Linked DNA regions of Mus musculus. The protein of the gene in region 1 purifies or fractionates together with the protein of each later gene. This does not show direct contact. Links are inferred from orthologs where the notes say so. Each region holds a gene or a part of one and is shown in the gene's direction. Other genes may lie near its edges.

The links.
Region 2: the proteins of Capn1 (region 1) and Capns1 purify together in Homo sapiens (co-immunoprecipitation; 4 studies listed by BioGRID and IntAct, counting the BioPlex papers as one, with this or other methods). This does not show direct contact. The link is inferred for Mus musculus from reciprocal best matches to the Homo sapiens genes CAPN1 and CAPNS1.
Region 3: the proteins of Capn1 (region 1) and Cast purify together in Homo sapiens (co-immunoprecipitation; 4 studies listed by BioGRID and IntAct, counting the BioPlex papers as one, with this or other methods). This does not show direct contact. The link is inferred for Mus musculus from reciprocal best matches to the Homo sapiens genes CAPN1 and CAST.

Annotation. Positions count from the first base shown.
Region 1 is NC_000085.6:6,007,210-6,015,272, reverse strand, and holds the start of Capn1 (calpain-1 catalytic subunit), read left to right. Parts: upstream 1-25; 5' UTR 26-167; exon of another isoform or gene 168-404; intron 405-804; 5' UTR 805-805; coding exon 806-1,072; intron 1,073-1,207; coding exon 1,208-1,277; intron 1,278-1,565; coding exon 1,566-1,684; intron 1,685-2,588; exon of another isoform or gene 2,589-2,653; intron 2,654-3,842; coding exon 3,843-3,976; intron 3,977-4,089; coding exon 4,090-4,258; intron 4,259-6,102; coding exon 6,103-6,186; intron 6,187-6,511; coding exon 6,512-6,597; intron 6,598-7,698; coding exon 7,699-7,773; intron 7,774-7,860; coding exon 7,861-8,021; intron 8,022-8,063. UniProt on the Homo sapiens protein: Calcium-regulated non-lysosomal thiol-protease which catalyzes limited proteolysis of substrates involved in cytoskeletal remodeling and signal transduction. Proteolytically cleaves CTBP1 at 'Asn-375', 'Gly-387' and 'His-409'.
Region 2 is NC_000073.6:30,189,577-30,198,122, reverse strand, and holds the start of Capns1 (calpain small subunit 1), read left to right. Parts: upstream 1-2,969; 5' UTR 2,970-3,117; intron 3,118-4,021; 5' UTR 4,022-4,036; coding exon 4,037-4,245; intron 4,246-4,374; exon of another isoform or gene 4,375-4,876; intron 4,877-4,922; exon of another isoform or gene 4,923-5,035; coding exon of another isoform or gene 5,036-5,079; intron 5,080-5,222; coding exon 5,223-5,256; intron 5,257-5,530; coding exon 5,531-5,620; intron 5,621-5,745; coding exon 5,746-5,803; intron 5,804-5,896; coding exon 5,897-5,961; intron 5,962-7,395; coding exon 7,396-7,464; intron 7,465-7,565; coding exon 7,566-7,644; intron 7,645-7,954; coding exon 7,955-8,071; intron 8,072-8,546. UniProt on the Homo sapiens protein: Regulatory subunit of the calcium-regulated non-lysosomal thiol-protease which catalyzes limited proteolysis of substrates involved in cytoskeletal remodeling and signal transduction. Essential for embryonic development.
Region 3 is NC_000079.6:74,736,437-74,744,499, reverse strand, and holds part of Cast (calpastatin), read left to right. Parts: intron 1-3,082; coding exon 3,083-3,151; intron 3,152-4,564; coding exon 4,565-4,663; intron 4,664-6,201; coding exon 6,202-6,282; intron 6,283-6,871; coding exon 6,872-6,910; intron 6,911-7,477; coding exon 7,478-7,564; intron 7,565-7,665; coding exon 7,666-7,755; intron 7,756-8,063.

The DNA of each region.
Region 1 (8,063 bases):
GACCAGGGAGGGAGGGACCAGGGCCGAGGGGCGGTGGAGGAGGGCGGGGAGGAGGGCAGGGAGGAGGGCAGGGAGGAGCGCTCTTCCTGGTTGGGCCCTGCCCTGAGCTGCCACCAAGGAAGCCAGCCCCAGGGACCGCAGCAATCTCCCAAACTCCCCTTCCCCAGGTAAGAAGTTGGGTGTCCAGACTACGACTGTTTGACCCAGGCCACTGCTTCTGGGGTTAGGGGGCTGTCGCTGATCAGCCCCTGCTTCAGGTCTTCTGTGTGTTTGCCTGAGGGTTAAGGGTCCGGAAGCAGCTCAACCCAGGCGCTCAGCTCAACCTGTCCGCTGTAGCTGGGCCAGTGTCCAGTGCTCTGATGTTCAGCTTGTGGAAAGGCATCAGTGCGTGGAGTTTTCAGTTCCTAAGCCGAGGAAAGGGGCAAATGAACTAGATGCTTGGCAGCTTTGTGGAGGGGAAGTTACAGGCAGGCAAATGGTGTCAGGGATCGTACCTGGAGTACCTCTGCTCTGCTGCTGTGGCTGGCCTCCACCCTATCCTACCTGCCTGGATGGCTGATACCAAACTGTCACCTCTGGGCGGTAAGAATAGGGAAAAGAGAGGTGGTGACCAGGATACCTAGAAACTGGACACCCCTTTCCAGATTCTGAGAGCCTAACAACAAGGTGGCTGAGAGTCCCAGGCACTGTAAAGGGAGCAGTGACCCATGTTTGGGGAGGAATGAGTCCAGGAGAATGTCGGCAGGCAGTTGTGTTTTATCCCTGGGAAGGCCTGCATCTCTACCAGGCCCATGTGTTCCCCAGGATGACAGAGGAGTTAATCACCCCTGTGTACTGCACCGGGGTGTCAGCCCAAGTACAGAAGAAGCGGGACAAGGAGCTGGGCTTGGGCCGCCATGAAAACGCCATCAAGTACCTGGGCCAGGATTATGAAACGCTTCGGGCAAGATGCCTGCAGAGTGGGGTCCTCTTCCAAGACGAGGCCTTCCCTCCGGTTTCTCATAGCCTGGGCTTCAAGGAACTGGGTCCTCATTCCTCTAAAACCTATGGCATCAAATGGAAGCGGCCTACGGTAAGAGGGCCACTCTGGGTGGAACTTGGTTCTGATGGTGGTGGGCAATGGGACTGGGCCCCCCCATTATTCGTGGTGTCTGGGTACCAGTTTCTAGGAGGGACTGGCCCAGGAACATGACCGTGGGTCTTGTAGGAACTGATGTCAAACCCCCAGTTCATCGTGGATGGAGCCACCCGGACAGACATCTGCCAGGGAGCACTGGGTAGGCCCCCAGGGGTGGGGTTCTGGGCGTTTGCCCCATTGTAGTTCTCCGTTCCCGTTCCATTGGGCACTGCCCCAACTCCTCCCTCCTGCAGGTCCAGACAGGTTTTGACTATCAGCATAGGTGCTGGTTCGCCCAGATTCCTGGGTCTTTTCTGTAAGCGGAGGGGAGATGAAGGGTACCCCACCCAGGGAATCCCTGGTGGCCCCCGGCATCCCACATACACAGCACCTCCCTCCCCTGGGCAGATCCGGAAAGCAAGCCTGATGAGGGTCTTTCCTATTCCAGGGGACTGTTGGCTCCTGGCTGCCATTGCCTCCCTCACCCTCAACGAGACTATTCTGCACCGAGTGGTTCCCTACGGCCAGAGCTTTCAGGATGGCTACGCTGGCATCTTTCATTTCCAGGTGAAGGTCCCTGCACCCTCCCTGGGCCAGAGGAATAGCTGACTTTAGGGAGATGGGAAAGGATGGCCCACAGCACTGTGAAGCTGAGATGGCCGGGGCCATGCCCTTCGAGGGCAGCCCTCCCTCTGGAAGGTATTTGGCCTCTCTGTGCCACCTCTGGTCAGTCATGTGTGAATGGTCAAGCAGGTATTTTCAGCTTGCAGCTCTCCTAGGTAAGGTTGTGCTTAGCAGAGAAAGTGTGGAAGAAGTGCTTTGGCTTTTTGCCCCAGCCTCAGTTTCCCCATCTTCACCTGTCAGTTCACCCTTTTCCCAGTTTCCCAGACTTGGCAAACCTGACAGAGTGTAGAGGAAAAGACAGACATGGCGTTTAAACACCATTCCCTGATGTTTCTGACAGGGCCCACGTTTCAAGTTACATTAGTGAATTCTCCAGGAGCTAGTGTTGAGAGTCACACCCCAAAAGTCTTGGTTGAGGCCTTTTCTACCATGATGATCCCAGTCATGCCTGAAGGGGGTCTCTGTGTTCCTTCCTTCTGCCTAATTTGGTCCCACTACCTCACTCTGCCCACGCCAGAAGAAATGGCAGCTATTATTCTATGCTGAGTGCCCCAACCAAGACAGCTCTGTCACCCTTTTCCCTACCCCCTTTCCTCAAATCTCCAATCTACTCCTCTTCCAGCTTCTATTTGGCACAGTCAGTGCCGCTTCCCAAATCCTTCAGTGATCCTCTTACCTCATCATTCTGGGCTTCTCCCTGCAACAATTTTTGGTGTTTTCCGAAGCTTCTGTCCCTAGGCAGCCTAGGCCTGCATCCCTGGAGCAAATCTGGTGCATTTGGAACCAGCCTGCCCATCTGTGGTTGAGGGTCTGGGCACAACATTGTCTTTCCACATCTCCCACTTACTTCTATACTCAGGCTTAAAATAAGGAAGCAAGGGGCTGTGAAGCTGAGATGGCCGGGGCTACGCCCTGTGCGGACAGCCCTCCCTCCGGAAGGTATTTGGCCCCTCTGTGCTAAGAGCACTAGAAGCTCTTTCAGGGTTCCTGAGTTCAATTTCAGCAACCTCGTGGTGCCTCACAACCAACTATAATGTGGTCTGATGCTCTCTTCTGTTGTACAGACTTAACAGAAAGACTCATATATAGCCGGGCGTGGTGGCTCATGCCTTTAATCCCAGCACTCGGGAGGCAGAGGCAGGCGGATTTCTGAGTTCGAGGTGGGCCTGGTCTACAGAGTGAGTTCCAGGACAGCCAGGGCTACACAGAGAAACCCTGTCTCAAAAACCAAAACAAACAAACAAACAAACAAACAAACAAAAAAGACTTATATACATAAATTAAAAAAAAATAGGAAGGCAAGTAAGAGGGGCAGGACCTAGGGTTGCTTTGAGGAGGAACATGGACTGGAGGCCTTCTTGCCCTTGCCCTCTCCCATATCTGAAGGCGAGCCTTGTTCTGACTTGTTCATCTAAAAATTCTAATTCCATTTATTTATAACGTGTGTGCGCGTGTGCGTGTGTTGATGGGGATTAACAGTGTGTCTGTGTAAAGGGCAGAGGATGACTTGTAGGGCCAGCTCTTCCCTTCCATCCTGTGGATCCGAGGACTGCACTCTAGTTCTGAGGCTTAGAGGCTAACAGCTAGACCCCCAGGCACCCCCAGAACCACTGACACGGTCCAGATCTGGTTTTGTGGTATTGTTTTGTTTTTCAGACATAGTCTTACTGGCTGTCCTGGAACTTCCTGTGTAGATCAGGTTTTCTTTGAACTCATAGAGATTACCTCCTGAGTGCTGAGACACCTTTAGGTGTCTATAGTTGTGGTGCCCTGGGCTGAGTGACTGTACACTCTAGAAGACAAGAGGCATGCCTGTAAGAATGTGTGTGTGCGCGATACGTGTGTGTGTGTGTGTGTGTGTGTGTGTGTGTGTGTGTTACACATGTACCCAGCATACAGATCGAGACTCGTGCATTTAGTAAGTCCAGCTGAAGCTGGAGAGGAGGCCTGGGACCCAGGGCAGGGGCTAACTTTGTCCCTTTCCCACAGCTGTGGCAGTTTGGGGACCAGGCCCAGGGCAAGGGCTGACTTTGTCCCTCCCACAGCTGTGGCAGTTTGGGGACCAGGCCCAGGGCAGGGGCTGACTTTGTCCCTCCCACAGCTGTGGCAGTTCGGGGAGTGGGTCGACGTGGTCATAGATGACTTGCTGCCCACCAAGGACGGGAAGCTGGTGTTCGTGCACTCTGCCCAGGGCAACGAATTCTGGAGCGCACTGCTGGAGAAAGCCTATGCTAAGTGAGTAGGATCCCCAGGGCACATCTTCGGTCTCTGGGGGTGGAGAGGTTGTCCTGGCCCTCTTACCCGGTCCTCCTTGATGATGCTACTAACCGACCTGGAGCTGCCCACAGAGTGAATGGCAGCTATGAGGCTCTTTCGGGAGGCTGCACCTCAGAGGCCTTCGAGGACTTTACCGGTGGGGTCACTGAGTGGTACGACCTGCAGAAGGCCCCCAGCGACCTCTACCAGATCATTCTAAAGGCCCTGGAACGAGGCTCCTTGCTGGGCTGCTCCATTAATGTGAGTGATGTCTAAGTTCCTCTGACAAACCCTAATCTCATCTTCAGCGCACCACTCGCCCCCTCCTCAGCTCATTTCCGGCTGGGGATGAGCCCCGCCCATCACCTCCTCGAATACTCCATGTTCCTCACTTCTTCCTTCAAATCTCAGCGGTGCCCCAGCTCCTCAGCTCCCTCCTGCTCCCTCCCTTCTCATTCTTGTCTGTTTGTCTGTTTGTTTGTTTTTATTTACTGTGCATTGGTGCTTTTCCTGTATGTATGTCTGTGTGAAGGTGTCAAGTCCCTGGAACTGGAATTACAGACAGCTGTGTGCTGCCGTGTGGGTGCTGGGTATTGAACCTGGGACCTCTGGGAGAGCAGCCAGTGCACTTAACATTGAGCCATTTCTTTAGGCAGCACATATACTACAATTGGAACAATATGGAGTAGATTAGCCAGGCCTTCATTCTTATGACCTTCCCGTGTTCCAAGGCTCTCCCAGTCCAGTGCTTCAGCCTTCTGATGCAATCTCTTTCCTATTCTTGACTTCACCCACGCCTGGCTCCTTCTCCTTTCCTTTCTCCTTGCTTACCGTTGTCTGGCCCACAATTCCCACAGTCACTTCTAGCCCTCCCTAGCCCCGTGCTTGGTCATTCCACACCAGCATCCTGGCTATCCTTGGCCACACAATGCTATGGAGCCCAACACAAAATCTCAGAATCTTACTTAAAACATGAGATCTTAAAATCTGTGAATTGACTGAGCCATCCCCAAGTGTGAACTCTGTGAATGGCAGTGCCTTGCTACAATGTCTCAGGGTTGGAGAGATGGCTTAGTGGTTAAGAGCTTGTACTGCTCTTAAAGAAAACCCAAGTTCGGTTCTCAGCTCCCGCCCACATCAGGTAACTCAGGACGTGCCTGGGATTCCCACCCCAGGAGGATCTGATGCCTCTGGCTGCTAAGGGTATCTGTACTCGCATGCACACAGCAATACAGAGAGAGTTAGAGTTAGAGTCGCATACAGAGAGAGTTAGAGCCAACTAGAAAAGAAGCTTTTAAAATAACTTCCTTATTTTTATTTTATGAGCATTTGATTGGCATTTCACCTGCACACATGTCTGTGTGTGGGTATTGAATCCTCTGAAACTGGAGTTACAGACAGTTGTGAGCTGCCATGTGGGTGCTGGGAATTGAACCTAGGTCCTCTGGAAGAACAGCCAATGTTCTTTTTTTTTTTTTTTTTTTAAGATTTATTTATTTATTATATGTAAGTACACTGTAGCTGTCTTCAGACACTCCAGAAGAGGGAGTCAGATCTTATTACGGATGGTTGTGAGCCACCATGTGGTTGCTGGGATTTGAACTCCGGACCTTCGGAAGAGCAGTCGGGTGCTCTTACCCACTGAGCCATCTCACCAGCCTGCAGCCAATGTTCTTAACGTAGCCATCTCTCCAGCCCCTAAACTAAACTTTTTTTAAAAGGGCTATTTGACCCCGCAAGTTTAGCCCCACTGGATCTGTCCTTCTCTTTCCCCTGTTTGTCCCCTGGCTGAGTCCCCCTTGGAGGGTTTGCTTGATTATAAGTGTGTGTATATATGCACACTCACAGTCTGGCCAGCCCTTGCCAGCAGCAGTATAGCGAGAGCATTGATTGGGGAGGTATCTAGGCTCTGCCCTGCTCCCCAGAAGGAACGGCATTTGTGTAACAATGGAGTGGTTAGGTGAGGAGTGTCTAAAAGTTTCTTCGATCAGCTTTTGTGGGGGTTGTGTGTGCAAGGGGACAAGGGGTACGGCCTGAGCCTCATATATGCTCCAAGCAGGGATGGCACCTCATCTTCTGACCACAGTGCACGTTTCTTTCCGTAGATCTCCGATATCCGTGATTTAGAGGCTATTACTTTTAAGAACCTGGTGAGGGGCCATGCGTACTCTGTGACGGGCGCCAAGCAGGTATTTACCGGGATGGGACCTGCCCTGCAGTGTGGTTCCTACTTCCAAGCCTCCCCGGCATCTGACCTGGGCTGTGGGAAGTGATGTCTCCTTTTCTGACCTCCTGGGATAACCATCGGGTGGTATGTGTTAATGCTATGCCTAGTGCCTCCAGTTCATTTGTACAGCTGCCTCACTGGGCTGTGAATTGCTGGAGGACTGGCTTAGGGGGTATGGACTGTGTTGCCCTGGTGTTGCTGGGTAGGAAGCAGGGTGAAGATGTGAAGACGGAGGTCCGGGAAGGGACGTCCAAGGTCATGACACTGATGCACACTTTTGGGAACAGGTAACTTACCAGGGCCAGCGGGTGAACCTAATCCGGATGCGGAACCCCTGGGGTGAAGTGGAGTGGAAAGGACCCTGGAGTGACAGGTAAGTCACAGGGAGGTTGGGGGAAGCCTGGAGATGTCCTGGACACTCCTGCCTGGGCCCCGGCAGGCTGGGTGTACACTCAGAGTTGAGGAAAGGGGTCACATCTTGGGAGTTTGCCCTGACAGAGCCCACCAAGGCTGTGGGCACTGGGGCAACCTGTGGAGACACCCAGGGCATCAAGGTCTGACTTGACCTTGATAAACATAACCCTGGCTGGATGTGGTGGTTTCTGCTTGTAATGTTCAGAAAGCTGAGGCAGGAGGACCAATACAAATTTGGGGTCAGCCTGGGCTGCACAGTGAGGTCCCGCTCAACCAAGGCTACCTAGTCTTAAAGGAGGTAGGAACGTGGTGGCGTATACCTTTAATCTCAGCGGAGATCGGCAGATCTCTGTGAGTTTGCCATCAGCATGATCTACGTACAGGGTTCCAAGCCAGCCAGGGCTATTATAGAGCAGGGCCCTGATGCCAAAAAAAGGCAAGCAAAAACAAGAAGTGTGGCGGTGCCTGGAGAAAAGTGGGCCAGCGGTGAAGAGCTTGTACTAGCCTACAGGAAAGGCCTGAAGTTGGGTCCCAGCGCCCACCGTAGGAGGCCACAGCTGCAGGGGGTCTAACACCCTCTCGTGGCCTCCACAAGCATGCGCACGCCCATACGCGCACACAATTTTAAAAGTAAAAATTGGCTAGGCCTTTAATCTAAGCTTTTTTTTTTTTTTTTTGTTTTTTCGAGACAGGGTTTCTCTGTATAGCCCTGGCTGTCCTGGAGCTCACTTTGTAGACCAGGCTGGCCTCAAACTCAGAAATCCGCCTGCCTCTGCCTCCCGAGTGCTGGAATTAAAGGCGTGCGCCACCACGCCCGGCTTAATCTAAGCTTTTAGGATGCGTAGACAGGTGTATCTCCATGAGTTCAAATCCAGCTAGTGAGACCCTGTCCCCAAAAAGAAGAGGGACCTTTAAATGGGGATCTCTAAGGACCTCAAGAGGTGGCCCTAGAGAAAGCCTGCTGATCTGGGCTCTGAAACACGCCAGGTTGGACAGGACCCAGGGACAGAAGTTAGATAGGTCCGTGGTGTCCAACCCTAGCAGTGCCTGCTTCCCACAGCTCCTATGAGTGGAACAAAGTGGACCCCTATGAACGAGAGCAGCTGAGGGTCAAGATGGAGGATGGGGAGTTCTGGTAAGCAACACTATTTTCCCCCCTTGCTCCCCTAAAACCCAGTTCATGATGGAGGACTGTGGTTCACCTCTGCCCTTGGGCCCTCAGGATGTCGTTCCGAGACTTCATCCGTGAATTCACCAAACTGGAAATCTGCAACCTTACACCGGACGCCCTTAAGAGCAGGACCCTCCGGAATTGGAATACCACATTTTACGAGGGCACCTGGCGTCGGGGAAGCACCGCTGGAGGCTGCAGGAACTACCCAGGTGAGTGGTTGGGAGACAGGGCAGGGGGGTGAGCAGGGCCAC
Region 2 (8,546 bases), on another chromosome or scaffold:
AAGGACAGGTCAGTAAAGACCTTGTGGCTTGAGTGAAAAACTTTTTTTTTTTAAGTGCTAGGCCTTCATGCACACTGCCTTGTGCTGTACCACGGAGCGGCCCTCCCTGGGGAGGGAGTTCTGACTCTTCCGGAATGAGGTGTACCAGGCACAGATGGGATCTGGCCTGAGCCAGGCTTCCTTTGTTTGCAGGTTATAGGGCCAGAGACTAGGCAGGAAGCGTTGGTGACAGCTAGAGGCAGGGAGGAATTAGAGGTGGGGTGAAGGTGAGGTGAAGGGGTGGGAGATGGGGGTGAGCAGGGAGGGAGGTAGCATTGAGAGTGCAGGAGGAGCCAGTTAGACTTGCTGACAGGGTGGAACAGTGGGGCATTATGGAGGCAGACAGTTGGGACCAGTGAAGTGTGATTGTAATGTAATGAGAGCATCAAGGTGGCTAAACAGGATTGCCATGAGTTCAACGCCAGCCTCAGGCACCCAGAAAGACCTTGCTTGTCTCAAAGGCAAGCAAGCAAGCAAACAAGCAAACAAGTAAACAGCAGCAAGTAGCTGGTGAGGAGGCACAGTGGTTAGAGCACTTGCTGCTCCAGCAGAGGATCCATGTTTGAATCTCAGAACACACAAGGCAGACACAGACATACAAGAAGCAAAAGCAAGACAGAGAAGCCATGAGTCCTGAGCCTTGTCCAGGTTGAAGATAGGGATTTGGGGGCTGGTGGCCTGGAGATGATATGTAAGACACGTGGGATCAGACACACTCCTGTAACCCCAAGAACTTTTAGGGTGGTTGCAGGAAGATCAGTTCAAAGCCATTCTCTGTTAAACAGTGAGATTGAGGCTAGCCTGAGCTATATGATACCACCTCACAAAATATACACACACAGGGGACAAAAATCACTGAAAAATACTTCAGGGAGGTACCAGATGGCAGGCACAAGTTGAATGGACAGAGGGACGATACCTAGAGCTCACAGATGCCGGCAACTGGGACTCAGGGAGACAGAATTAGAGGACAATATGACCACACTGGGTAGTGTGTATGGTGAAAAATGGGTTTTATTTTATTTTTGTTTGTACGTGTGTTTTGCTTGCATGCATGACTTTGTACATTTGTGCCAGCGCCTTCAGAGCCAGAAGAGGGAGCCTAGATCTGGACTTGAGACACTTGGGAGCTGCTTGATGTGGGTGCTCAGCACTGAACCCGGGTCCTCTGGAGGAACAGTCAAGACTCTTGACCCCTGAGCCATCCCCAAGCAAAACTCCCATGAACCTTCTTTTGTTTGTTTGAGACAGGGTCTCACCATGTAGCCCAGTCTGTCCTCTGGAACTCACTGTGTAGACCAGGCTGGCCTCAGAGTTCTCCCTGCCTCTGCCCCCTGAGTGCTGGGATCAAAGACAAGTGCCACCACGATAGGCTCCCTTAAGTATTTTTAAATCGTTGTTTTGAGATAAGACCCTGTGGTGTAGCTCGCCTGCCTGAGTCTTCTGAGGCCTGGGCATGTGTCATCATGTTTACTGTTGGTCTGAGGGCATGAAGCTGGCAGCCTCTTCAAGCCTTGGGTGGATGTGAGGACAAAGAGGTCTTCCCAAATGAGAGATGTCTGAGCTCTGGTCCAAAGTGGAGGACACAGACAGTCAAGTCCAAACACAGGAGTATTTGTAGGCAGAGGACAGGGCTTATGCCAGCGAGTTGAGCCTGAGGTCAGACTGCTCAGTGTGGCAGGGAGGGGTGTGGCAGAGAGGGAATCCACATTAGTCATCACCAAATGATTTATCCGCTAAGGCTTAGGCCTGGGTCGCCACCCTCTGTGCTCCCGCCTTTTAGAGTTTCCGGTTTCGACAGGTTAAATCTTGCTTCACACACACACACACACACACACACACACACACACACACACACACACACACAGGTTTGAGCAATGATTACCTGGCCTGGTCCCAGCAAGCCCTTAGGTGGCGTTAGTGCAATTACGGTCTTGTCTGCTGAGATCTTATTTGACTGATTATCATATTAAGTTATCGGAGATTCTTTGAACAGGTAAAGCAGACTGGTTGTTTAACCTCAGTTTACTTATACATAGAATGGGGACAATAACAGACCTATCCCACAGGCCTGCTTCGAGGACACACAACCTAGTGAGTGGAGAGTATTTAGGGACCGGCAGGTATTTGTCGATGTTGTTTAAGGATGAGCAAGAGTAAACGAGCTAAGGGAACCAGGTGAGCTCCCAGCTGAGGGAACAACATGGCGACATAGGGACTAACAGAAGAGCTGCCATTTACTATGTATTTATCACTTAATTCTGATAGGGGCTTACCCTAGTGTCCTCTAGGGTCTCATGTAGCCCAAGCCGGTCACAAACTTGTTATGTACTGAGAATGGCTGCCTGCCCTCACCTCCCAGTGCTGGTTTTACAGGTGTGTGTCATCACGCCTGGCTATGTTCCCGCCTTACACATGAGGAGGTCATTACTCAGAGACACCAGGTCACTGTTTTAGGGATGAGCAATAAAGACTCAAACCGAGGTTTATATAGTTCCTAGGGAGTGGCCAGACAGCCAGACTAGAAGCCCAACAGCGACCTGGGTGAGAGGCACAAACTGATGGTAAACTTAAGATGTAGATTCCTAGCATTCGGGAAACAGAAGCAGGAGGATTGTTTCAAGTTCGAGGTTAGCTAGGGCTTTAGGTCATCATTTAGAGGATGTTTAACAAACCTCTGTCTCAAAGTGCACAATGAATGAATGAATGAATGACAACTGAAGTCCTTTTTTGCAACTATATACTGCAACGGTGACCGGGTACCCTGTATCTAGTTCCTGGAGGCTCCAGTACCTGGGCGTTAGAATAATTTATTCGTACTCAAAGCTATTTAATCTGGACAGCGTTGAATTTCCAGCAGTGTGTGTATGGGGACGGATGAGCTAAGCAGAGACTTGCAACCATAACCCTCCCGCGCAGGCGCAGTCTGCAATGGAGGCTCTAGGACCGCGCAGACGACGGCTGGGTGGCGGCAGGGTCTAACCCGGAGTAGCTGCCTGAGTCACCGGCCCCGCCCTCCCGAACCGGACACAGCGGAGGCCCTGCAGCAGGCGAGCAAGACCGCGGACCGCCGGATCCGTAAGTGAGACGGGACACTCCAGTCCAGCACCCCTGCACCCTGTAGATCCGGAATCCGTAGTCCTCAGATCTGGCGAGACCCTAAAGTCTTGGCCCTTGGGGGGTCCTAGGACCGGTGTTCTCAGATTCGAACCATCGGGCCTGTCAGCCCCTCCAGAACACTCCTTACCATCCCGGATCTGACGACCAAAAAATATAAGCCCAAAGATCAGAGAGATACCCGGAAATTATTTTGGGCGTCTAGAACCACAATCCGAGATCGTGGTTCCCATTTGCGGTGGGAAGAACTCCGTTATCCAGGATCCTCCGGGCGCACAGCCATAATTTTTGGCCGGAGCCCACAGATCCCGTAGTGACAGTGTAGTCCCTCTGTCGAGAGTATCTGAATGTCTTAATCCACATTAGGAACTTCCTGGTCAGCCCTGGGTCATCCCTACCCTGAGCTTAATTTTGGAAGGCCTGGATCTGAGACACGTTCGGTTTTACACACCTTAGGGTTTCTACACGAGAATCCCCTGTTTTCCCGCTGCCTCAAGACAGGGTAAAGCAGGCAGGCGCTGTAGCCGAGGCTGGCCTTGAACTGGTCCTCCAGCCTCAGCCTCCCAATTTCTGGGATTACAGTAGAGCGCTACCACGCACGCCCAGCTGTACCCCTGTCCTCATGCCTATATATATGCAGTCAAGCCTGGGCCAGGGTACTTTCTAGACCCTAGGAGGTTTCACATCTCCTATCACCTGTCCAGACCCCTAGCTAGAGGCTCTGTCCCCATCTCGAGGCCTTAGTTTCCTCCCCAATCTAGTTGCCGGAAATGCTTGCTTTTTTTTTTTTTTTTTTTTTTTTTTTTGCGGGAAGGGCTGGGCTCCTGGCAAGGCCACTACCCGACCCACCCCTTTTACTTTACAGGACTCAGCTGCGATCATGTTCTTGGTGAATTCGTTCTTGAAGGGCGGCGGTGGCGGTGGGGGAGGCGGGGGTCTGGGCGGGGGCCTGGGGAATGTGCTCGGAGGCCTGATCAGCGGAGCTGCTGGCGGCGGCGGCGGTGGCGGTGGAGGCATGGGACTGGGAGGAGGTGGCGGAGGCGGTGGAACTGCCATGCGCATCCTGGGCGGAGTCATTAGCGCCATCAGGTAAGGCGGGGCCTGAAGGGGCGGGGCGGGCCAAATAATAAAGACTCACTTAGAGTCCGACCTGAGAATTCTTAATTAGTCTGGGCTGATCCATACCGGAAAACTGGCCCTAAGGGGATTCTAGCGAGGCTGGTGTCACTTTTTAGTACCAGGATTAGTAAACCTGCTTCTGTGGGTCAACAAATAGGATGCAGTTTCTTGGGGATAGGGGCTCTTCTGTGTTTGGGGAAGGTGCAATTCTATAGGATTGTATCCAGCCTTCACTGGGGGCGCAGCCAGTGGATCTAAGGCTGTCCATGGCTTAAGATTTGAGCGAGGTGGAGCTTGCTGTTTTAGGAGAGATCAGAGTCCCCAAAGAAGAAATGGTCCAGAGAAGGTTGTGTGGGGTCTGGAGCTGATTGGTTTAGTGGGTAAAAATCCTTTGCTGGGGTTAGAACAGGTGGCTGGCACCTATATCGTTGGTGATCCAAGCACTGATCCCTGGGAGGAGTAGGGGCTGATGGGGGGCGGGAGAGGTAGACGTTAGGCAGTTAGATAATCTGCAAAAGGAGCGATGGAGTAAGACTCTGGACAACTGAACCCGAGGAAGATGAGGCCTAGGAAAGCTGGTGCAGACAGACCCCCTTGTGAAGTGAGTTCTTCAAGGGGCGGGCCCTGCTAAGTTTGTTAAGGTTTTCAGGATTTTGATTGGGGCTAAGATGCTTCTGACATTGTGATTGGTGGGTGTTCCTGGGCAAGGAAAGGATTCTTCCGTGGGGTGGGCCCTTGGGAGGTGGGAGAGGTTGGCCCGATGGAGGGAAAGGAGGGGTCAGACCATTCTCTTGATTGGACCAGGTCAGGACGATGAGGTAGACGAGGGGAGGAGGGAACCCCTTAAGGAAGAGGAGGGCTGGAGTTTCAGGGGTTGGCTGACCGTTCTGCCGCCCGTTGGAGGCTCTGCCCCCATGCGCTAACTCAGCCCCCTTGTCTCCCCTCAGCGAGGCTGCTGCGCAGTACAACCCGGAGCCTCCGGTAAGCAGACCTAGAGACCCTTCCTCCTCAGGCCTGTTGCCCGCCTCATCTTCCCCATTCCTATGAATAAGGCTCCCCCTCCTTCCTTAGGAAACCCCCTGCCGTTAATAATGTCATTTTTTTGAGGGCCCCTAAGCTAAACCCTGGGTCTCAGCCACGCCTACTTGCTACACCTAATTCAGGTTCCCTGGCCCTCAGACTGCCCAGCCCTCTCTGACTTTTCCCTGGGACACTTGTTTCTCCATCTCTGTTCTGAGATCGCCTCTCTCTGCAGCCTCCACGTAGTCATTACTCCAATATTGAGGCCAACGAGAGTGAAGAAGTCCGTCAGTTCAGGAAACTTTTTGTCCAGCTGGCTGGAGACGTAAGTATCCTGCCTGACCGCTTGACTCTGTCACTTGACTGTGACAACCCGGAAGTTCCCATCCCGGTTTATGGTCTCCAGACCCTTTCCATCTCCCTTGAACTGTACTTACCTTCTGCCGTCAGGACATGGAGGTCAGCGCCACAGAACTCATGAATATCCTCAACAAGGTCGTGACCCGACGTGAGTGACCAGGGTCAGAGTGTGGTGAAGGTTTAGAGGCATATGGGCTGGGATGGTCTCTGACCTCTGACCTTCAACCTGTTCCCCCCTCAGACCCGGATCTGAAAACTGATGGTTTTGGCATTGACACTTGTCGGAGCATGGTGGCCGTCATGGATGTATCCTTTTGGGGCCAGCCTGGAGAATGCCTTGGGTGAAGAGGGTCTTCTGGGAATATGTTGAGGACGGCCAAGGTGAAAGCCTTCATACTTGGAGGACACAGACTTACCTACGTGACCATAAATAATATCAGCTGCTACAGCTGGAACTTTACCTAGATTAGTGGATCCAACCTTTACAGATACCTTGCTAGATAAAGACGATGTAATAGGAAAGGAAACAGGCTCAGAGAGACACAGTGGTTTTGTCTCTGGCCAAACCGCCCAGAATTTACCTGACATGAATATCTGATCTTGAAAGCTAGTCTTGGGGCTACTTGAGGCTTGGATAGCAGAAACAGTCGTTTAGAGAATACATTGCAGGATAGGAATTTGGACTTGGGAGTTTTGGTTTGAGAATCTAAGCTTCGTTTATTTCTCTATTTACTTTTAAGCAATATTGATTGACTGACTGATTGATCAATTGATTGATTGATTTTTGAAACAGGATTTCTCTGCCTTGCCTGGCCTGGAATTTACTCTATAGACCTGGCTGGCCTCGAACTCAGAGATCTGCGCACCTCTGCCTCCCAAGTTGGGATTAAAGGAGTGTGCCACCACCATCCGATTACTAGTTATTTTATTGTACAGTATTTTTGGATTCTTGAGATGGGTCTCAAGAAGCCTAGGCTGGCCTTGAAGTCAGTGTGTAGCCAAAGCCAAACTCCTGATCTTCCTCTCAAGTGCTAGAGTTATAAGCATGTGCTACCATGCCCGCTTGGCTTATTTTACTTTTACTCACGTGCATGTGTGTGTGTCTGCATGTGCGTGCACGTGTTCTCAGAGGCCCGAGGACGTTGGACCCCCTGGAGATGGAATTCCAGGTGGTTGTGGGCTGCATGTTTTGAATTGTAGGAACCAAACCCAAGTCCTTTGCAAGAAGATTAAGCACTCCTGACTATCTAGCCTTCTAAGCTTATTTTATTTTTTTTAAAGATGTATTATTTATGATGTATACAGTGTTCTGCCTGCATGTATGCCTGTAGGTCAGTAGAGGCCACCAGATCTCATTATAGATGGTTATGAGCCACCATGTGGTTGCTGGGAATTGAACTTGGGACCTCTGGAAGAGAGGGGGCTCTTAACCCCTGAGCCATCTCTCCAGCCCTTATTTTATTTTTTAAAGTACGAATTAGGGTTAATCCCAGTACTTAGGAGGCAGAGGCAGGTGAATCTCTGAGTTGGAGACCAGCCTGGTCTATAGAGCAAGTTCCAGGAAAGCCAGAGCTGCATAGAGAAACTTTGTCGTGAAAAGACCAAAAGAAAAAAGAAAAGAAAAGAAAAGAAAAGAAAAGAAAAGAAAAGGGAGAATGGAAGAAAGAAAAGTTAGCATTTTGGCATTCACACACACACACATTGCATTTTGTCACTTGGTTCTTAACAACCTCTTGTTAGAGCGACACCACAGGCAAGCTGGGCTTTGAGGAGTTCAAATACCTCTGGAACAACATTAAAAAGTGGCAGGTAAGTGGTAGCCGCTGAAACTCCCAGGATCTGATCCCCCAAGCCATGGGGACCCCATGCTCCATGATGCTTGGTCCGACTGTTGTCTTTTCTATCCTTAGGCTATATACAAACGCTTTGATACTGACCGATCAGGGACTATCGGTAGCCATGAACTTCCAGGGGCCTTTGAGGCAGCAGGTGTGCTGGCAGGGGGTGATGATGGGCAGGGGATGGGGTGAGCAAAGTCACACCGTCACTGTACTGGAGATTGAGAAGTCCTGTGTGAAGCCGGGCATGGTGGCGCACGCCTTTAGTCTCAGCACTTGGGAGGCAGAGGCAGGCGGATTTCTGAGTTCGAGGCCAGCCTGGTCTACAAAGTGAGTGCCAGGACAGCCAGGGCTACAGAGAGAAACCCTGTCTCAAAAAAACAAAAAAAGAGAAGGCCTGTGTGCTGGGGCCCTGAGACCAAACCGTTTTTTGTTTGTTTTGTTTTGTTTTGTTTTCCCAGGATTCCACCTGAATGAGCATCTCTACAGCATGATCATCCGGCGCTACGCAGATGAGAGCGGGAACATGGATTTCGATAACTTCATCAGCTGCTTGGTCAGGCTAGATGCCATGTTCCGTGAGTGTCACTCTAGATCTCTGCGAGGGTGGGGATTTGCTAACCTTCATTGGCCAAGGGCTCCTCTAGGTCTAACCTTAATGTCAGCAATGCTGGGCTCACTAGGCAGGGACAGCTGAGACTTGTATGGCTGAGATTCTTTTTTTTTTTTTTTTTTTTTTTTTTTTAAAGATTTATTTATTACATGTGAGTACACTGTAGCTGTCTTCAGACACACCAGAAGAGGGCATCAGATCTCTTTACGGATGGTTGTGAGCCACCATGTGGTTGCTGGGATTTGAACTCTGGACCTTTGGAAGAGCAGTCGGGTGCTCTTACCCACTGAGCCATCTCACCAGCCCCTGGCTGAGATTCTTGTATGGCCATGTGGATACTGGGAATTGAACCCCAGGATCCTCTGCAAGAGCAGTAGGTGCTCTTAACCTCTGAGCCATCTCTCCAGCTCCATCTTGCCTGGTTTCTTTTTCTTTTTTTT
Region 3 (8,063 bases), on another chromosome or scaffold:
CATGTTTTGGGAACTTAAAGTGAGAAAAATACTAAAATAATTTTGAAATGTGTATATCTAGTAAATACTTATTGGGCAACTGGCTTCGAAGGCCTGATATCAATGCCAAAGTAATTAAAATGTAAGTTGGTTCAGGCCTTGCCGTCCAGGTTCACAGGTATGAAATCAAAAACGTAAAACTTACATGAGTGCTTGAGTAGGCATTACGCTCAGCTTTGAATGCTCACAACAGCAACCTTGACATTAAGTCACAATCACAGCAATGGTGTGAGTTGCTAGCATGATTCTAGATGTGTTGCCCAGTCCCAGAAACCCCGCACTGGAGGAGCTTCAGATGCCAGTCTGGGAGTGTGCAGAAAGTCGCAGAAAAAGGTAAAAGTCCCTTGAAACATACTGATTTCTTGGATCTTGGGATTCCAGACACATTATTTTAACAAAATTCATAAAAACTTTTTACATAGAAATGCTCACATGTGAAGGAAGGGTTTTGTGATGGGTTACTTGTCTGTTATCTCAGGACCTAACCATCAGCCTGGAAACACCAAGTGTGTATTTATATGAACTACTTTGAAAAATAGATTTAACTAGATATGTTATAACACAAACTTTTAAAGTATATTCAAAATCTGAGGTTTGAGGTTAGCAATTAACTAGCCCATGTTATCAGTAAAAGCTAAATGATCCACATGACAAAAGGTTACCTGGAATTCTGTTATTCATTGGCTTGATTCTGGACTTTCCATAATTATTTTATTTTACTTTACTAGTGATTTATACCCATCTCATTAGGACTAATCAAACCTGACTTATTTTAGGATTTGGCAGGTTTGAAGCATTATAGTTGAGTGTACTATGTGCTGGCCAGATTAAGGAAAGTGTCCGTGTAGAGAAACATTTTATGAGAAAAGGTAAATTCCATCTGAGGCAGGGGATTCACAGGACTGTGAGAGAGACAGGGAGCGGGAGTGGAGCAGCAGCAGGAGCAGGAGTGAGAGCCGGAGCTGAGCGACCTCCCCTTTGATGTAGGGCAGCTGGGATTCCAGGCTTGCAAACACTTTGAGATGTTGAGCAGTTTCAGATGAGGTCTGATCACAGGCACATTCCAGTGTCAGAAAGCAGAGTCCAGAGGTTGCTGGCTGTAAGACTAGAAAGACAGGTTAAGGCTGCTGGGGAGAATGCTGTAGGAGCTTGTGGGTAGTGGCAGGAAGGTGAGGTGGCGTAGGGCTGTTTCGATGGTGCTGGTGAGCCATTATGTGGCTAACTTAGAGCTATAGTAGAAGAAAAGAGGAGAGCTATTCAAAGTTATAGCAGAGACAAAACATTCAGCTTTCAGAAGGTGTTGGCTGAGTAGGGCAGAGGTAAAGAAAATGTACAATGTGCTGGGGCTTCAGAATATGGCATGAGTAGGCTGATAACAGTGAAGCAAGACAAGATAGATGCCACAGTGCCAGGCTTTTGGAGGGGCTCATTCTGTGATCCAAGCACAGGGTCAGCACTGAGACCAAGTGCCTGCTTAGAAGTGGAGTGGCAGATTTACAGCACTGTGCTCGACCTCTGGTTACTTTGAAAGATCAACAGAAGCTTATAGGATATATATGAAGAATGGGCTATGCCTAATTAGGGCTAGACTGAATTTAAATGTTTGGCAGGCTTAAGAAAAGGCATGTAGCAAAGTAATTAATATATTGTGTGGTGCACTGAAAAAGGGAGGAAGTGGGAGAGAGAGGAGGGAATGGAGATAGAGGAGATAGAGAGAAAGGAAAAGATGAGACAGGAAGAGGGAGGGGGAAGAGTTGTGAGTGTGCACACAACTACACAAGGGGGCAGTTAACTCTCTAGGAAGGGGTTCTGGCTTGTACCTGGCACCGTGTTCTTAGCACCAAAGTCATAGCAGTTGTTAATTTGGTATTTAATTATATAGCAAGTGCTTACATCATACTAAGTATTAAACATTAACATAACCTTCACAACCCCTAGGTACCATCATTGTCCTCATATCACTATGAAAACAAGGGACAGGGGAAGTGATTTATAATTTATAATTCGGAAGCACCTGTGTATGTCACGGCTGGTATACAGATTCAGGCAGGCTGAGATCTGCTGCCTGAGTTGATATGTGCAAATGATCCATGGCCCAGGAAGGTCCTAAATGAAATAACCTAACCAATATAATTCCTGCCAAGAGTCCCTGACCCTAGAGGATTTGGCATAGAACACCATCATAAGTCGGGAATATACAGAGTACGTGCTACTGGAAGCAGAAGAAGAGAAGCACAGGGTGGCATGACAAGGGCAGAATCTGAATGCTGCTTTGCTGTGGCAAGTGTGGGAGATAAGAGGTGACACAGTGATGCTCCCCATGGTCATCGTCAGAGATTATGTGTGGACAGACGCAGGACGGTTGCAGGTTGGAAAGTTAGCAGCTGCAGGAACTGCCGTAATTTATAGCCAAAGGAGAAAATATATGAGAAGAATCAAGGAAAGAACAATGAGCTACCAAGGCAAGTGACACAGTTGTCCTGGTGAGCAGAAACAAAGACGCAGGGAACAGAAGCTACCTCAGAAACAACTTGTAGGCTTTCAAGGCCCGGGACAAGTATGGTGGCCAGGCAATCCTGGTGCAGATCAGGGTTTTATCCCTTCCTCTGTAACCCAGGGAGTCACCTCATCTCCACTACTTTCCTTCCTATTCTCCTCTCCATCTTTCCCTTCCTAGCCTCTTCTGCCTCCCTTCCCTCCCCTCTTCTCCCTTCTCTTCAACCTCCATCTTTTCCATATACCAAACAACATTTTAATTGCCTTCTTCATATCTTTCCTTGGACTTATTATGTACTTAAACCAATCTATCACTTTATTTTCCTCCATGAGCCGGATCTCTCTAAGCTTCTCTTTCCTGTCACTAAACAGGCTTAATGTATGTAGTAGTTTTGAAGCATTTGCCATTACCGTCCACAGTTGATCATGGGACTAGTACATGATCTAGGCTATTAATACATGAATAGTTCATCTTGAATGTGTGTGTCATAATGCTGTTTCATAAAGGTGTATGAAAAGTTTTAAAGTCCTTTTAAACTCCCTCTAGAAAAAAGAACAGAAACCATTCACACCAGCTTCACCTGTGCAGTCCACACCGAGCAAGCCATCTGACAAGGTATGGAGCCAAAAGGCACTTCATCATCAAACATTTATCTCCTGTTGCCTGTCTCAGCCTGATTTCTCGTTGTTTTAAAGGAAAAATGTAATGACTTAAAATTTAAAAAGTTATGACTGAGTTGACAGTGTGGCCATCACTCTGTATTCGTACCATTTTATGGTACGAGCCTCTATTTTGAAAATTCTAGTTTTATTATACCAAGTTCAGTTATAGCTTCTCTTCTGGAAATATGTGTTTGTTAGCAACGTGCAAGGTTTCTTGAGGCTTGGCAAGTCTCTTGGTTTTAGAGTGGGGACATCAAGGGTTGTCTAAGTATTCTGTATTACCTCTCTATTGGTAAAGAATATAAGGTACTTTAAAAAAAAATCTATCCCCTCTTCCACAAGAAACCACAATAATAATAAGAAGGGGAAGAGTAGCCAAAGCAAATGTGCCCTAGTTTCTGTTACACCTATCAGTAATCCGCTAAATCCTAAAACTATTGTAGGATTGTGGTAATTCTTTTTTTTTTATTATTACATATTTTCCTCAATTACATTTCCAATGCTATCCCAAAAGTCCCCCATACCCTCCCCAACCCACTTCCCTACCCACCCATTCCCATTTTTTTTGGCCCTGGCGTTCCCCTGTACTGGGGCATATACAGTGTGGTAATTCTTAAAGGAAACCGTCAGACATATTCAGTGACACTTTGACGTGTGGAGTAAGTGCCGTACAGGTCATAAGTCAGGAACATACAGAGTCTGTGCTATTGGAAACAGCAGAAAAGATGCCCAAGGTGAGAAGACAGTGGCTGTTTTCCATGTTAGGAGCCTGTTCCGAGTGAGCTATCCAAAACTACAGAATAAGGTGACAGCAACTTCTCATTAATATGTTAAGTATATGTTGGCAAACTAAACTGGCAATTCATATGTCTTTAGGGTTGACCTCACATAATATCTCTTCAGGGTTGTCTTTGAGCAAGTCAATGAACAACAACAATGTTCATTAAAGAATGGAAAAATACAAGAATTAAAAAAAAAAACAATAGCTTCTTTTTGAAGGAAGTACTGTCTACAGATTTTGCTAGAATGAAACTATGGGTGATACTAAAAAGCAACAAGTGCCACATGGCTAATCCTTGCATTTTTTTTGTCTTTTTCCTCTTGACTGTCAGTACAGTGGTTTGGTTGCTTTTGTGAACTACTACATTTGTTGCTGTAGTTAATAATGTGGAATTTTTTTAAATGGTGATCTTTACCTGAATGTGGCTTTTTATTTTTCCAATTGAGAATTTCTTCATATTAAAAATGAAATACAGTTTAACTATTTTTGAACTTGGAAAAGTTACAGTATTTGATACATTTTAGTAGTTACAAATCACGGGAAATATATCTACAAAATAACATATCTTATCTCTTCTATTTCTAGTCAGGCATGGATGCTGCCTTGGATGACCTGATAGACACCTTAGGTGGACATGAAGATACTAACAGAGATGATCCACCATATACTGGACCAGTAGTTTTGGTATGTGTTGGATGACAGTCAGCATTCATTGTTAATGGGGAGGAAAGCAAATAAACCTATGGTATCAAGCATAGGACTGCATGTCATGTTCTGTTGATTATGTAGACGCAGGATGATGTCAGAATTGATATTAGAAACAAAAACTCGGGGGTGAGGGTGGAAATGGTCTGCTTTGTGACACTACACAGTTGCTATGATTCAGAATATGTCTGACAATGCTAAACTGGAACAGCTGACTCGGTCAGAACATCTAGTTTTCTGTCCTTTAGATTTGACGCAGTGGACTTGAACTTATTTTGAGTTTTAGATCCTTATGATCCTAAGTTAATCTATTCTTCATTTCCAAGGAACAATGTAATTTTTTTTCTGGTGTTAAAGATGTTGTAGCATAGATGAAAACATTTTCAACAGTTGCCATTAAAGTTGTTTCTATAGTTTACAATAAATAGAAAAACAGAGACAAAGACAACTCAGTAGAAAATTAAGAGAAAGTTGCTTGCACAATGAGCAAATAGTGTAAGGGTCTACCAGGGAATTAGGAAAATAGCATAAAGCATGGCGTGGTGCCTTTGGCTCAACCAGACTGCCAAAACTTTAAGAATCTGACAGGTCAATTTAGGCATTAGGTTCTAAAGAGGTGTTCCGTTCAGTCACAAACCCCACCAGCGAGACTTTGGAAATCTTGCCCCTGTGTACAGCGAAGGATATGGCAGAACACTTGAGACCAATGTGATCAATAGAAAATAGGAATGTGATCAATAGAAAATAGGGAGCTTTCAGTGCTTTCTGAAAGGAAAATGGCTTACTTATGTATCTACATGGATCTATTACAAAGCCATGATTTTGAATAAAATAAACAAGAGCAACAAAATGATACTATTTATATAGCTTTTGAAAACATGCAAAGTTATAATATATTTTGCTTATACATTTCTACATTTGCAATATTTTTAAATATTAAAATATTCTCAGCCGGGTGGTGGTGGTGCACGCCTTTAATCTCAGCACTTGGGAGGCAGAGGCAGGAGGATTTCTGAGTTCGAGGCCAGCCTGGTCTACAAAGTGAGTTCCAGGACAGCCAGGACTACACAGAGAAACCCTGTCTTGAAAACAACAACAACAAAAAAAATATATATATATACACACATATATATATAGTCTCCTCTTCAGCTTGAATTCAGTGATAAAATTACATGTACCACAGTATTAAAAATAAACCACAGGATAAATGAAAATATTTTTTAAAGTTACAAAGCATTTACTTCTACAGTTTATGAAAAATAAAAAAATACTGAGAAAAGGTAATTCAATAGAAAATGATAGAGATGATAGACTTAAAGTGCAGATGCTATCTCTAAAGCTAATTAAATAATTGTTAGTATGCAAGTAGAACTTTAAGGATAGATTTTAGCTTCTAAATGATTTATTTTCATCTCAATAGATACAGAAAAATCAATACTGGAATAGTACTTTGGCTTCACTTAATAGTCTCATTAGATTAACTGTATAATATGTCTTTATGTATGATTTTCTTCCAGGACCCAATGTATTCTACCTACCTTGAGGCACTGGGTATAAAAGAAGGGACTATTCCTCCAGAGTATAGGAAACTTTTGGAAGTAAGTTATCTTTCATTTTTATTTTACCATTTCCTTCTTGGAAGACAATTCTGTAACAATATCAAAGTTTAGAATATGCAGTGGGGCACATACAGTTGTTATTATTGAGAAGTACCCTCTGTGTGTTATCCTTTAGAACTTCTCTGACAATGTACTACAGACTTGATAGTTTAACTAAGAGAAAGGTATTGTCTGGTTTTTATGGAAATCATAATTATGGTGTGGAAACAGCTGGCTCCTTTCAAGTGCTCAGAGGGGTAGCTCTCTAGCCTGTTGACAAGGCTGGTAGATGGGTATCTTCTCCCTGGATCCTTTCACATCTCCTTTCCTCTAGGTTTTCCTCTGGTACGAAATGTGTTCTCTTCATAAGGATATTAGTTCCATATAAGGATTCCCACTAATGACCTTGCTTTAATGAATTCCTTACATAGAGGCCCTATATTCATATAAATTACCATTCTAGGGTTCTTCATGACTTCAGCATGTGAGTGCGAGAATACACAATTTAGCTCATGAATGACTGAGAATACATTTTGTCAAATCAGAAGAATTAATCTTTCCTTCTTAATTTCTTCCATTTTTGTTTCAGAAAAATGAAGGGATCACACAACCTCTTCCAGACTCTCCTGTGAGTTTGTATACATGTCTTTTAAGATCTGTATCAACACTGTTCTTTGTTTGGGGACATAGAACTACCAGTACCAAACTGGGTTTGGTGGAACAGTCCTGTAATCCAGTTATGTAGAAAGCTGAGTTTAAGGCCAGTCTGGATAATTTATACCCTTTCTCAAATTAAAAAGTAAACCGGGGATATATCTCAGATATCTGGGTGGCAAACTACTTACTTGCCTAGTGTGCATGAGGCTCTGGATTCAATCTCTAATCTCTAAAACGCAAATGAAAAGAATCCTATGAAAGCATAGTAGAAGGCATGGGCCTATTTCTCTGTCCTTGGCCATATATAATATGGAGGTGGAGATAATAGGATAGAAGGATATAGTAAATACTAATAATTATTATTAGTATGAGCACATATAACCACATGTAACTCCTTTGGAAGAAGGAAAAGGAGGAAAAGAACCCACCCTTTCCAAACAGGACTTATCTCAGTAGCATTTCTCATTTGGTATCTAAGGAATGAAGAGAGTGGTTTTTTGCTGGACTCTCAGGTGTTACCCTGTGCTCTTTTCTCTAGAAACCTATGGGGACTGACCAGGCTATAGATGCCTTGTCATCTGATTTCACCTGTAGTTCTCCAACTGGAAAGCAAAGTGAGAAAGAGGTATTGATTTCAGTCCTATTCAGAAAAACTTTGCAAGAAAGCATCTTAACTGTAAAAAGAAAACTTTAGTTCTGTTTGTCATATTGTATTTTCTTTTTTAGAAGTCTACTGGGGAAATTTTCAAAGCTCAGTCTGCAGGAGTGACCAGAAGTTCTGTTCCCCCCAAGGAGAAGAAAAGGAAGGTGGAAGAGGTACTTAAATAGCCAGGGCCCATATGACAGCAGCAGGTATTTTCTTGGGTTTACTTATGTCTGAGTGCTTCTAAAGCAGGCCTCTACTCTAGTCATACGAGACTGTTGTAAGCCAGGGCCTATGCCATGTGACTCAGTGGCAACCCTACCCTAGATTGATCTGTCTCTGTATCTCTCTCTTCTCCCTCCCTCACTTCCCTCCCTCTCCCCCTCTGTTTCTCTCTCCCTCTCCATCTCTCTCTCTCTCCTTGTCTTTCTTGTCCTTTCTCTATTTCCCAGTAGGTCTAGGTCTGTCTGTATCTTTGTCT